3 linked regions of the Ovis aries genome follow. The protein of the gene in region 1 interacts with the protein of each later gene in a pairwise test. Links are inferred from orthologs where the notes say so. Each region holds a gene or a part of one and is shown in the gene's direction. Other genes may lie near its edges. The genes, in order: VAPA, APOD and CACNG1.

The links.
Region 2: the proteins of VAPA (region 1) and APOD interact in binary tests that used the Homo sapiens proteins (3 or more experiments, as listed by UniProt). The two-hybrid records come from large-scale screens. The link is inferred for Ovis aries from reciprocal best matches to the Homo sapiens genes VAPA and APOD.
Region 3: the proteins of VAPA (region 1) and CACNG1 interact in binary tests that used the Homo sapiens proteins (3 or more experiments, as listed by UniProt). The two-hybrid records come from large-scale screens. The link is inferred for Ovis aries from reciprocal best matches to the Homo sapiens genes VAPA and CACNG1.

What each region holds. Positions count from the first base shown.
Region 1 is NC_056076.1:42,429,305-42,432,950, forward strand, and holds part of VAPA (vesicle-associated membrane protein-associated protein A), read left to right. Parts: intron 1-1,425; coding exon 1,426-1,529; intron 1,530-1,943; coding exon 1,944-2,024; intron 2,025-3,646. UniProt on the Homo sapiens protein: Endoplasmic reticulum (ER)-anchored protein that mediates the formation of contact sites between the ER and endosomes via interaction with FFAT motif-containing proteins such as STARD3 or WDR44.
Region 2 is NC_056054.1:192,884,306-192,888,459, forward strand, and holds the start of APOD (apolipoprotein D), read left to right. Parts: upstream 1-1,235; 5' UTR 1,236-1,260; coding exon 1,261-1,302; intron 1,303-4,154. UniProt on the Homo sapiens protein: APOD occurs in the macromolecular complex with lecithin-cholesterol acyltransferase. It is probably involved in the transport and binding of bilin. Appears to be able to transport a variety of ligands in a number of different contexts.
Region 3 is NC_056064.1:62,288,344-62,292,454, forward strand, and holds the start of CACNG1 (voltage-dependent calcium channel gamma-1 subunit), read left to right. Parts: upstream 1-1,204; 5' UTR 1,205-1,311; coding exon 1,312-1,543; intron 1,544-4,111. UniProt on the Homo sapiens protein: Regulatory subunit of the voltage-gated calcium channel that gives rise to L-type calcium currents in skeletal muscle. Regulates channel inactivation kinetics.

The sequences.
Region 1 (3,646 bases):
TCTATCAGCAAGTCAAAGTCACATCTTTGTTTGAAGTTTTCTTTTTATTCAGTTTCTAGTGAATATCCTGGGGTGGTTGTTCAGTGAAAGGTGTTCCTGGAGATACATTGTGCGTTATCTGGATAAACACACATTTATCCTGTGCGTTTCTTTTCTTTCTCCACAATTTTGCTGATTCATGTTTTTATGGGTGCTGGTTCTTTGTTGCTGGGTGGGCATTCTCTAGCTGTGGTGCACAAGCTTCTCATTGCAGTGGCTTCTCTTGCGCAGGTCACAGGCTTTAGGTACTTGGGCTTAGTAGTTGTGTTTCCTGGGCTCCAGAGCACAGGCTCAGTAGTTGTGGCGCAAGGGCTTATTAGTTGCCCTGTGGCCTGTGGAATCTTCCCGGATCAAGGATTGAACCCACGTCTCCTGCATTGGCAGGCAGATTCTTTGCCACTGAACCACCAGGGACTCCCCCTGTCTTGTGCATTTTCTACTGTTGTATATTTGGCTGTTAAATTTTTTTTTACCATGATGGGAGTTAAGGATCTCTCAGACCTACCTTATAAAGAAGAAGTTCTTATATAATTGCTATTTCTTGCATTTGCTTAATTTCATCTGAGTTTTTGAAAATGTTGACATCTGTCTTAGAAATAATCTAAATATTAGCAGGAAAGTTAACTCCACAGTATTGTGTACATATTTTGTGGAATTGCTGATTCATTCTTTATAATCTCTTATTAGATTTATATTACATAATTTAAACCATACAGAGCCTCTAAAAAACCTCTTGTAGGCCATTGAAAACCATAAATGCTTGGTAAAAAATTTTAAATATAATTAGTAGGACAGTGGAAAAAGTTCAGAAATCATGAGGCTGTATGGTCTCCTTCTACACTTTGTTGTCTTAGGCTCATTTAAACACACTGATAAACTCTTGAATAGGTGTTTATTTAAAATCTATTTTAGAAAAAGCTAGTTATATTGAAGCACTAATGAATGGTAGTGAGTTTTAAGTTACCTAGAATTTCTCCTATAAATATTCTAGTTGTCTGATTTTAAGAGCTGTTATCACTAAATACTAATGTGAAAACTAAATTTATAAGTGGTTTTAAATACAAATTTACTAGATTTTGAGTTTATAGGCATTGTAATAGTTAATGTTAGCAAAGTTTTGAAAATTTTCCAAACTTAAGTTTAGAGAGGGCACTTATAGATACTTATTTTTTAAAATAGTCATTTGTTTATTTTGTGGGTTGTTAAAGATGTAGCAACTTAAAAACGTAGACAAGGTAAAAATAATTGAAAATCATAAAATTGATTCTGAATCAACTTCAATAATCCAGTGTTTCTTGCAGCTTTGCTGGTTTTCTTTAAATTTTCAAATTAGAGAGTGAGTGCTGGGAATGGTCAAAAGTCAGTGATATGTCCTTTCTTCTTCAGTAATGCTGCAGCCTTTTGACTATGACCCCAATGAGAAGAGTAAACACAAGTTTATGGTACAGACCATCTTTGCTCCACCAAACATTTCAGACATGGAAGCTGTGGTGAGTAGAAAAATTGAACAGAAATCTTTTGGGGGAATGTTGTTTAAACTTGGGTTTTGTTTAGTTCTTCGTTGAGAAACCTACTTTTTAAAATTAAAAAAATATGTACATCTCTTTACTATGGATAATCCTAACTCATGTCAAGAATGAAGGAATTTTGAAGTCATATTTGTTAGAGACGGATTAGAAGTCCAGTGCTAACAGTGAAGCCCGGTCATCTCTAGGGATGTCAGTGAGGTTTTAATGGTGGTGACAGTAGCTCTTATAAGGTTCTGTAGAAAGTTCTGTGGCACCTGGAAACCCCCCAACCCCTGCCTCCAGGCAGCTACTCTAACCCTTTAGTCCCTCGAGAGGAAACCTAGTTGTCGCAACTGTATTTCCTCTGTCTCATTGTTTGGTTTCCTTTGTTTTTAGTGGAAAGAAGCAAAACCCGATGAATTAATGGATTCTAAATTGAGATGTGTATTTGAAATGCCCAATGAAAACGATAAATTGGTAAGTAGGAAAATTTAAGAAACTTGGAAGCTGCTCAGCTCTTACACTGAGACTTAACTTCTGCTGCTGGTTTCGGCCTTGGTGGGTGTGTGATGTAGGATACAGCTGTTCCAGATTCGGTGCTCAGGCTTTTTCTAAAAACATGGTGTGGACGTGCTCTTTTTGTGTTATAACATTTTATTTGTTCAAGAGGAAAAGTACTTTTAAGGTAACTTTTGATTAAAAGTATGATTAAAAAAGAAATAGTTTAAAAAGCTGCATGATGGAGAAGAACCATCTCTTCCTACCAAAATCTTACCACTTAAACCACTTCAAGTTCTTCGTTAGAATAAGATGTGTGTATACATAAATATAATTAAGTTACAGACATAAACTCCCTTTTAGCAGCTATATACCTGCAGTCTGCGGGTAAGATTTAATTTACATGGACATTTAATTTACATTTATTCCAGATTTGGCTATTCCCAGGTATTTTGTTCACTATTGTTATTTGTCAAAATAACTCTGATTTTATCCCTTAGTAAGTGATTTTCATGTTGCGTTTTGATTAGTGTGAAGCAAATAAAATTTGAGAGAGAGTTTGAAAAATAGCCTTAGAGAATGGGTTGTGGTCACTTTCTCTGTTCCTTTTGTGAAATTCAAATTTAAATGTTTTCTGTGGTTTTAGGAGGACTTCAGGGGTCTTTAGATTTGTGTGCATGTGATTTAACGTAAAGTAATATGAACACATAGCATGGTTTGGCACAATTAGGTTATAATCTGACATGACTGTTGTCTTTGCTCTGGAAGCCGTTTCCCCTGTTGAAAAGTAAACTTGCAAGTTAAATACATGGGCTCCATTATTGTGTTTCTCTTTGAGGATAAGCTGAAATAAAAAAGTGCCTGAGTGGCAATTAGGTGTTGACCAAATCATTTATTGTGTTTTTAATGCCTTTTTAAGGTGGTTTTGAAATATTTGCCAAAGATAGAGAATGTGAACACATGTTCTTACTGGAGAGCGAGGTTCTGATGGTGTAGTAGCACTGATGAAGTTTTGACACTTCCCACATAGAGTTCACTTTCTTTTTTGCTGAGGCTGCCAGGAGGCTAAGAGCTTGTGTAGTTCTTACCGGAACCAAGAAAGCACAGTAGCACATTGTCTGGGTTGACTTGTTTTATTTCTAGTTTTATTGAGCTGTAGTTGACATGCTGTATAAGTTTAAGGTGTCAGCATAAAGATTAGTCTTCCATACATTGTGAAACGATTACTGCAGTAAGTTTAGTTAACACTCATTGTCTCATACAGCTACCAAAAAAACACTGTTTTCCCCTGTGATCAGAACTCTTAGGATCTGCTCTCTTAACAGGTGTTGAGTGTACCGCACAGCAGTGTTAACTGTAGTCACCATGCTGTATGTTACATCCCCAGTTCTTGTTTATCTTGTTTATATGGAAGTGTGTACCTTCTGACCACCTTCATCCAGTCGCTCCTCCCCATACCCGACTCTTCTAGCCACAGACCTGATCTCTGTTTCTGAGAGTTTGGGACTTTGTTGTTGTTTTAAGATTCCGTGTATAAGTGAGCTCATCATACAGTATTTGTCTTTCTCTCACTTCGCTTGGTGTAATGCCCCTAAGGTTCA
Region 2 (4,154 bases), on another chromosome or scaffold:
AGAAAGTCAGAAAGAGAATCAAATACCGTATGATATCACTTATACGTGGAATCTAAAGCACGACACCAATGAATTTATCTATGAAACAGAAATGGATTCACAGACATGGAGAACAGACTTATGTTTGCCAAGGAGGAGGAAAGGTGGAAGCAGAGAAGGACTGGGAGTTTGGGATTAGCAGATGCAAACTATTACATATAGGATGAATAAGCAACAAGGTCCTACTGTACAGCGTGGGAAAATATATTCAACATCCTGTAATAAGCCATAATGGAAACGAACATGAAAAAGAATATATATGTGTAACTGAGCCACCTTGCTGTACAGCAGAAATTAATACAACATTGCAAGTCAACTATACTTCAATTAAACAATAAAAGAAAACCCTCTGCATATTCACAAAGGCACAGAATCCAGTTCCTAAGAAAGAATCTTTCCAAAGCTGGTCATTCCGCAGAGAGAGAAGCAGCCCAACCAAAAGTGCCCCTGGGCTTAAAACTGCATTTTCCCCCGCCTCTGCCCCCATTCCCTCTCTCACCCCAAGCAGAACAGACTGCCTAGAATTTGCAGCTGGGAGGGTCATCCAAGGCACAGAGAGAGAAGCTGCAGAAGATGTCTTGGCGTTCTCAGCTTTTAGCCCTACATGCCTAGCTCTGGTGGAGATAGAAATGACAGTCTGTCCTTCACAGTGGGGAGACTGAAGCTCTGAGATGTGGGTGGCTTTCCCAGGATCACATAGAAAGCCAGCTCTCATTCCTAACCTTCGCTCCGTGGCTGTGTCACATTCCAGGCCAGGGACCACATGGGTGGAATTCAGGCTCCATTTTCGGGAAACGGGGTTTGTTGCTTTTTCATTTACACAAAAAATGAAAAATAAATAACAGATGTTTGAACACATGTTGCAACTCTCCTTACTGGAACTTAAAAGTGCATTCTGACTGAGAAAATTAAATTAGAAAATCCACACAGCAAAAAAAGATGTTTTGAATGAAATACACTTTGTCTTTCCCTCTCTCTCACACACACACACGAACAATATCTCCTTGTTTCTTCTTCAGAGAGCAGCTGTGAAAGAAATTGGGGGAGGGAGATGAATATAACATCCCATCTTTGTGTTTCATACAGAGCAAAGCTTTTAGACCAGCCTTCCTGAACTGTAGGGGGCGGGGCATGCCTTAAAATTAAACATCAGTGACCTGAACAGGCTTATAAAATAAGCTTGGGAGAAGTCAGTCACCAAGACAGGGCATCTCAGAGTGGATGATTTTGCGTGCGGAAACTGCTTTCACCTCGATAAAAAAGGTATGTACTGTGGTTTTAATTCTCATTTCAGCTAAAAATAATAACTAAGATGATTGAGGGCCTTTGGCCAGTTGCTTTGCAGACTTGGTTTCATTTTTCCATAAACGACCTTACAAGGGGGATATTTTTAGTGCTGTTTTTCAAATGAGGAAACTGAAGTTCAGATATCCTAAGCAACAGGCCTAAAGTAAGACCACCAACACATGCCAGAGCTGAGGTGTCACCCTGAAAAGACTCACCTCAAAGTCCTCTGTCTGCATCAGGCAACCCCCTTGACACTATTATTAGACAATGAGGAATTATTCCTACACCAATACTGTACTAGATGAATTCTCAGGGGGTTATCCAGTGTGCATTGCAGTAAAACTGACCAAAAAGTGAGTTGGAATGTGCTGTGTGAACTGAAAATTCATTTAGTATTAATAGAATTAATTATGAAAATAATTAAATTAAATAGTATTAATATTAACAGAAAATGCAAAGCTTTTTATCTCCTGAAAAATTTTCTTTAGGCGATATGATTTCTTATTATATTCAATAGCAAAATGGTTTTTAAGACCCATATACTTGTGGAAGTGTATTTTATTTTGTCATGTGAAATCTAAAAGTCTCATCCCTAATATTCTGAAGCTCCTTGAGACCAGATACCAGGTCCACACTATCATGCGGGTGTGTAGACTCTTAGGAAACCTGGTCCAAGTTCTGGCTTCACAGCTTATCAGGAAGTAACCTCACTGAGCACATGGAGAATGTTAGTGCAGGACTCTTCCAGACTAGGTGTAGTAGAGACTCAGGTCCATGTAAAATACTGAAACCAGGGCTTCTCCCTGGAGAAGCTCAAGGAGTGTAAGTAGTAATACACAGAGTCAATTCTGGCCCAGGGTGGATGCACCATAACCTTAGCAGAATTCTTTTCTAATTATTTAATATTCAGTTAAGATAATATTTAAATTATATCTATTTTTTAAAGTATTCGAACTCTCTTCATTAGGACCATCTTCCCATTAGTGTTAGAAGAAGATGCAAAAGTAAGTCATACATATCCAAGTTCATAGATACAGGTTAATAATGTGATATACCCTCAGAACTTGCTCAATAAGCATTGCATGAATTAGAATGCAAGGGGCACTGGGTAAAATTGATGGATATTATCAACTCTTTCTCTCACAAGAAGTTTAATCATAGGACTAAAACTACTGTAATAAAGAGGCATCTTTGGAAGAGATGCAGGCGGGATAATTAGCTATGCTCTGAAATCCTGCAGAGCTAAAGAACACATTTCAGCTCACTACGGAACATTTTGTAACAAGATGTTTGTCAGGAGCTGACTTTGGGTCGAACTGTCATGTGGTGAAATGAGATTCATCAGGTATTAGAGGCAGGTGTTTACTGAAACCACTGAATGTGGTCACAGAAGGCAGCAAAGTTCAGGGCTGTGGCAGGATGGAGAGCTGGAGATGGGGCCTGAGCCCCGGCCTTCTGCCCCTCTGGGCCTTAGCTTCCCCATCGGTACACCTGAGGGGAGGGGTTGGATAAATGACCTCTAAGTTTCTGCCCAGTTTTGGGGCCGTGGAGAATGTGCATAAAGTGTGGCCATCCTTGAGCTTAGAACTCCTGGGCAGGACACTGAGCCTGGAGCCGACTAGGGGCCAAGAGTAGAACTTCAGTGGTTCTAACCACGGCTTAGAAAGGAATGCAAATTTTTGTGGGTTTAGGCTGGATTTTGGCAAATCCATCATCCCCTAAAAGGTTAAAAGACAGATGTTGTTTACCTGGTGTCAGGGGCTGATGGGAAACGGAGCCTCGGAGACTAAGGAAAGTAGCCCCCCTCCCGCCCCACCCCCCTCACCGCAGACGTGCTCAAGGCAGGGACTCGGGACCGTCCCTCCTCCCCTCAACCTCACACCAACTTTTACTCGTTATGTAACTGTTCTTTTGAAAAACACGCAACAAAACCTCCAGAAGAAGAGCTATTGATTATTAAAGGTTATTTGGAGATTTAGAGATTCTTAAGAAAGTGGTTATAATTATCCCAGTTATGACACATTCTTTTAAAAACTCAAATCTGAGAACATCTTGCTTGCCTCAATTCAGGCCTCTTCATCACAGGGAGAAAGGCAAAGAGCTGGAAATAGCTCTCGTGCAGCTCCAGGCGAGGACTCACAAGGAAGAGAACAGACTGAGAGCAAGTCAGTGAAAGAAGCTGGGAGCAGCCCAGGCTTCGACCCTTCCAGCAGCGCTGCAGCCCCCACCCCTGCCCACTGTGCACCCCCTCAATAGCAGCTTCCGCACCCAAGGGCTCTGGGCTCACATCAGCTACTGGCCCCTCTGCTTAAATGTATAGCATGTATGAAAATTAGCCTCAACAGAATATTAAGGAAGAAAGGAAGGGAAGGAGGAAGGAAAGAAGGAAGGAAGAGAAATTCAGGAAATACAACAATTTGCTTCTGCATTTCATAATAGCATTTATTGAGCATTTGTGTCAGATACTGCTCTAAATGCTGTCTATATTTTCTCATTTAGTTCCCTTGGAAGTTCACAAGGTTGGTATGATTATTATTCCCACTTAATGCCAAGGAAATTAAAGCATCCATTGGACACAGTTGTACTTAGTGTGTGAAGAGCCAGAATGCAAACCCAGTCAAGGTGATCCTGGAGTCCCCAAGGTTCCCAGGCCTACTCCTGGACTGATAGACAGCCAGCAAGTGGAGGGTAGCGTGGGGAGGTGGAGCCAGGGGAGGCATTTCTTTGATGAACCTCATAGGGCACTAAATGCAGGTTTTGTTTTCGATTAGTTTTTTCTCTCATGGTTCACTTGAGGGCTTCACTCTCTCCCAATCCCCGCCACCTGC
Region 3 (4,111 bases), on another chromosome or scaffold:
ACGGCTAGACCCTCAGATGGTTCTCCTCACACAGAGAGTCTTTTTGTAAGCTGTGTCAGCCTGAGGCCAGGATTTCAGAAGTCAAACCCCTACCCGGCTCAGGGGTCTTCTCCTGGCTATGCATCAGCCCCTTGACTACACCCCAAAAGAGGCTCCTGGTGGCCTGAGAGAGGAGACACAGACCCGGAAGGGTGTAGGGGCTCCAGCCTGGAGTACCAGCCTGCGGCCAGGGGGTGGGATGGGTGGACATGAGGGAGGAGTCAGGACCCTTGCTTGGTGGTCCCAAACCCCAAGTGTCCTCTGCTGAATCCATACACCCAGTAGCCACTTAACAGTCACCTGTAAATCAGTCTACTTTTGTTCTTCTTCACTGAAGTATAGTTACTTTGTAAAGGACAATATAACCTGAAAATCCTTATTACCTGCCATTAATAGAAAGTAAACCTAAAACTAAAAGCCTGGCGTGCTACAGTCCATGGCGTTGCAAAGAGCTGGACACCACTTGGCGACGAACAACAGTGAAACGGAAGCAGCAGTGGCGCTGCGCTCCGGTCAGGCCGGGGGCTTTGCTCTCCCCACACTATTCGTCCATTTGCGAGCGTCAGGAAGTGTGAGAGACTTGCTAGCCCCCGAAGGAGCTTTCCTTCTGGACCCAGTTGGAGGGAAGGGGAGAGAACTGACAAGGAAACAGTGCAGGAGCAACCTGGGGCGGCTTGGGGTGTGGGGTTCAGGTCTAGAGCGTACTCCCCTGGGCTGTGGGCGCCAGAGGCCCCGGGTGGGCCCCCCAGGCCCCAGGACAGAGCCCCGTTCACCTGCTCCCACGCGAGGACAGAGGCCTGTGTCCTGGGTCTGTGCCCTCCCCCAGCAGCTCACTCCTCCTTCAGCCCCAGCAGGAAGAGGCTGGCACCGTAGCGCCAGGCCTGTGCCCCTCGCCCTCCCAGCTCAGGACCCCTGAGCTGGGCTCTGAGGGTGGCGAGTCTGCAGCTGGCCTGAGCCTTCTCTCCTGCCCCACCCTGGTGTGCTCCTGGCCCCGGGGAGGGAAGCCAGCCCTGAAACCCAAGGAGCAGCCGTCCTGGGTGAGGCACCGGGGTGCTCATTAATAGAAGCTTCCTCAGGCCTCTGACACGCCTGGGCAGCTGCTGAGCCCGTCCAGTGGCCTCACCCACGGCCAGCCCACCCTGGCTCAGCCCGGCACGCTAAACTTAGCTTCCACCCCCGGCTGGAGCCACTGCCCGCAGCCCCAGCCCAGCTGCCCCCGGCCCGAAAGGACTCGGCCGACAGACCCCAGGTGCCCACTGCCCCGGGACCACCATGTCCCCGACCAAAGCCCTGAAGGTCCGAGTGGCCCTCCTCTGCATCCTGGTGGGCATCGTGCTGGCCCTGGTGGCCGTGGTGACAGACCACTGGGCCGTGCTGAGCCCCCACGTGGAGCACCACAACGCCACCTGCGAGGCGGCCCACTTCGGCCTCTGGCGGATCTGCACGAAGCGAATCTTCGTGGGCGACAAGGAGAGGAGCTGCGGCCCCATCACCCTGCCCGGGGGTAAGGCACCCGCCCCGCCCGCTCCTGCGGGAGGACGGGGCTCCGGAGACCCGAGCGCGCCTGGGCGGCGGCGGTGGGCCGGCCGGGCGGCGCTGGCGGGGCGGAGCCGGGCTGCGGAGCGCGGGCAATGCCTCCAGCTAGTCCGTGCGCTGGGGCTCGGGGCTGGGCAGCGGGCAGGGGTCTGGATGGGCGGACAGACCGCGGCTCAGCGAAGAGAACGCGGGTCTGCCGACTCAGCCTGGACGCCCGGCCCCCACCGAACGCAGGCCTCAGGTGGGAGGGCCGCCTGGGCGAGTTCATTCCAGGCTGGAGTGCGGCCACACGCCGCTCAAGGGTAGCCGGGCCCTGTGCAAAAGGGGGTGCAGGGCTCCCCCTCGTGAAGGCGGCAGGAGGGAGCCCAGCGGCGACTCGCCCGGGAGGCGGGACCGCTTTGTGCGAGGACTGTGTGCCCTGCGCCTCCTCCCGACCGGGTCCCCTTCAGACTCAGAAAACGCTTCCTTCGCTGGGATTTAAATGCCTGCCTCAGCCTCCTAGTGCTGCGCGACCGCACGTGAAGGCGCTTTGTGGGGAACGCCTGGTGTGAGGGTGGCCAGCCTCTCCGCAGGCGTGGAGCCTCCACATTCTCAGTGGGCAGAGGCCCGCTGCGGAAGGAGCCCGGGGGCCCGCGTCAGAGTCTGGGCTCCGTGCGGGCCCTGCCCACCACCCCAGAGGGCTGGGCGCTGACAAGCCCGTCGCAGACTCGGCGCCTTCCTTTACCACACGGGCTCAGGCCCAGCAACCCAAAGTCCCCTCCAGCGTTCCTTCCAAAGTTACCCCAAGGTGGCCGGTGACCGGGGTGAGTGCAGGGTCCCACCTGGTTTTCAAATTAGTCTGTTATCAGACTGGGTGTTCCTTGAACCCTGCCCTTCAAGAAAGGCACTGCTAAGTCCCGAAGACCCTGCGGTCTCTGTGGGGGGTGAAGGAGCCCAACCCTCACCCCTCCACCCCTGGCCTTCCTCGCCCTTCCCCCCCCCGCCCCCCGCTGACCCCAGGAGAGCTCAGCCCTGCTCACTCCCACCGGACACCTGGAAGACACAGCAAGCCCCAAGCCTGAGGGCTCTCACAGGCACAGACATGTGCTCGAGGGGTATCATGTGGCCCAGATGCCCACGCCCCGCAGCCACTGCTGAGCACACCCATAAACAGATGCACCATCCCGCCAGCCCTCCTGGGCAGGGCACATTCTCCAGGGACTGTGCATGGGATCGCACTGTTACGGTCCACCTGTCCTTGGCCTTTTAAAGCCTGGTGAATTTACAGAGCAGATGAGCAGGGTGGTGAGGGAAATCTATACAAGGAGAGACGGCTGGTGGGACGTGACCGGACTGGCCACAGGGGATGCGCCGGCTCGGCCTGGCCGCAAGCCTGAGTTGAGTCGACCTCTAGGCCACCTTCTCCTGGTCCAGAGTGAATCGCACCTTCCAAGCCTGTGAGCACTGGATGAGCTGTCCAGGTGCACTCCTGCCTTCTCCCCTCTCCTTTCTCTGCAAGGGGACATCGTTTTCCTTCCGCACCCATCCTGCCTGAGCTCCACTGGATCACTGTTTCCGGGAGGAATAGAATTCATATGCCTTCTCTCATTAGTTACCAACAACATCTACAAGTACAGCGCTGTCTGCCAAACACATATATTACACACGTTAACCTTGGGTGACCTCAGAAAAAAAGACAGAGTAAGAACCTCCAAAACTTATTTTCTCCATAAAAACAATGAGAACATTGGCTAACACGGTCAGAATAAACTTTTTCAGAACTCTAGAAGTTAACCAGTCTTGCAGCAATAAGCAAGTGCTTATTCAAGAAAGAGGAGTGAATCCCAGTAGAACAATGAGGTCTGTGGTGTCTTTTTAAGCTGCTATTCCAGTTCTTTCCTTCCTGACTGCGTCACAGGCTCAAAAAACAACAGCCTGCCATCAGAGTGAAGCCAGCTGCCTGGAAGCCACCAGAAGGGGCAGACTAGGGCTGGACCCCTTTCAAGGCCTCACTCCCAGAGTGGTGTCATTATCTGATCTGTCTGGTGGTTCCCTAGAAGCTCGCCTTTGCAAGGCTGCCTTTATTTGACCTGACTCTGAGCTCATCCCGTGGAAGCAGTCTTTTACCCAGGAGGCATTTGTCAGAAACAATTAGAGACAGTTGTTTAATATCCTAACTGCCTACGGAAGCAGATAACAGAGCAAACAATAGGCTCACCAGAAAACTGCAGAACAAGATAGGTGGCTTTGAAAAGCCCCAACATATTCCTGGGAATTTAGGAGGCCACGAGGGTCCACAGAGCAACAAGTGTGCACAGGGAAGATCTGAGAAGGCCATAAGCTCTCACCTCTGGCTTACGTAGAGCTGTGTGAAGAAAGAGAGAGAAAGAGAGAAGGAGGGAGACAGCACGAGGAAGGGAGAGAGAGACGGAGAAGGAGAGGAGGGGAAGAGGAAGGGAGAAAGAGGCTAAGGCAGCGGCGGAGGCCACTTCGCGGAGTGCTCGGCTGTCTGCTGGCACGGAGCTCCTCAGCAAAGACTGGGAGGGGCATGGCTTCC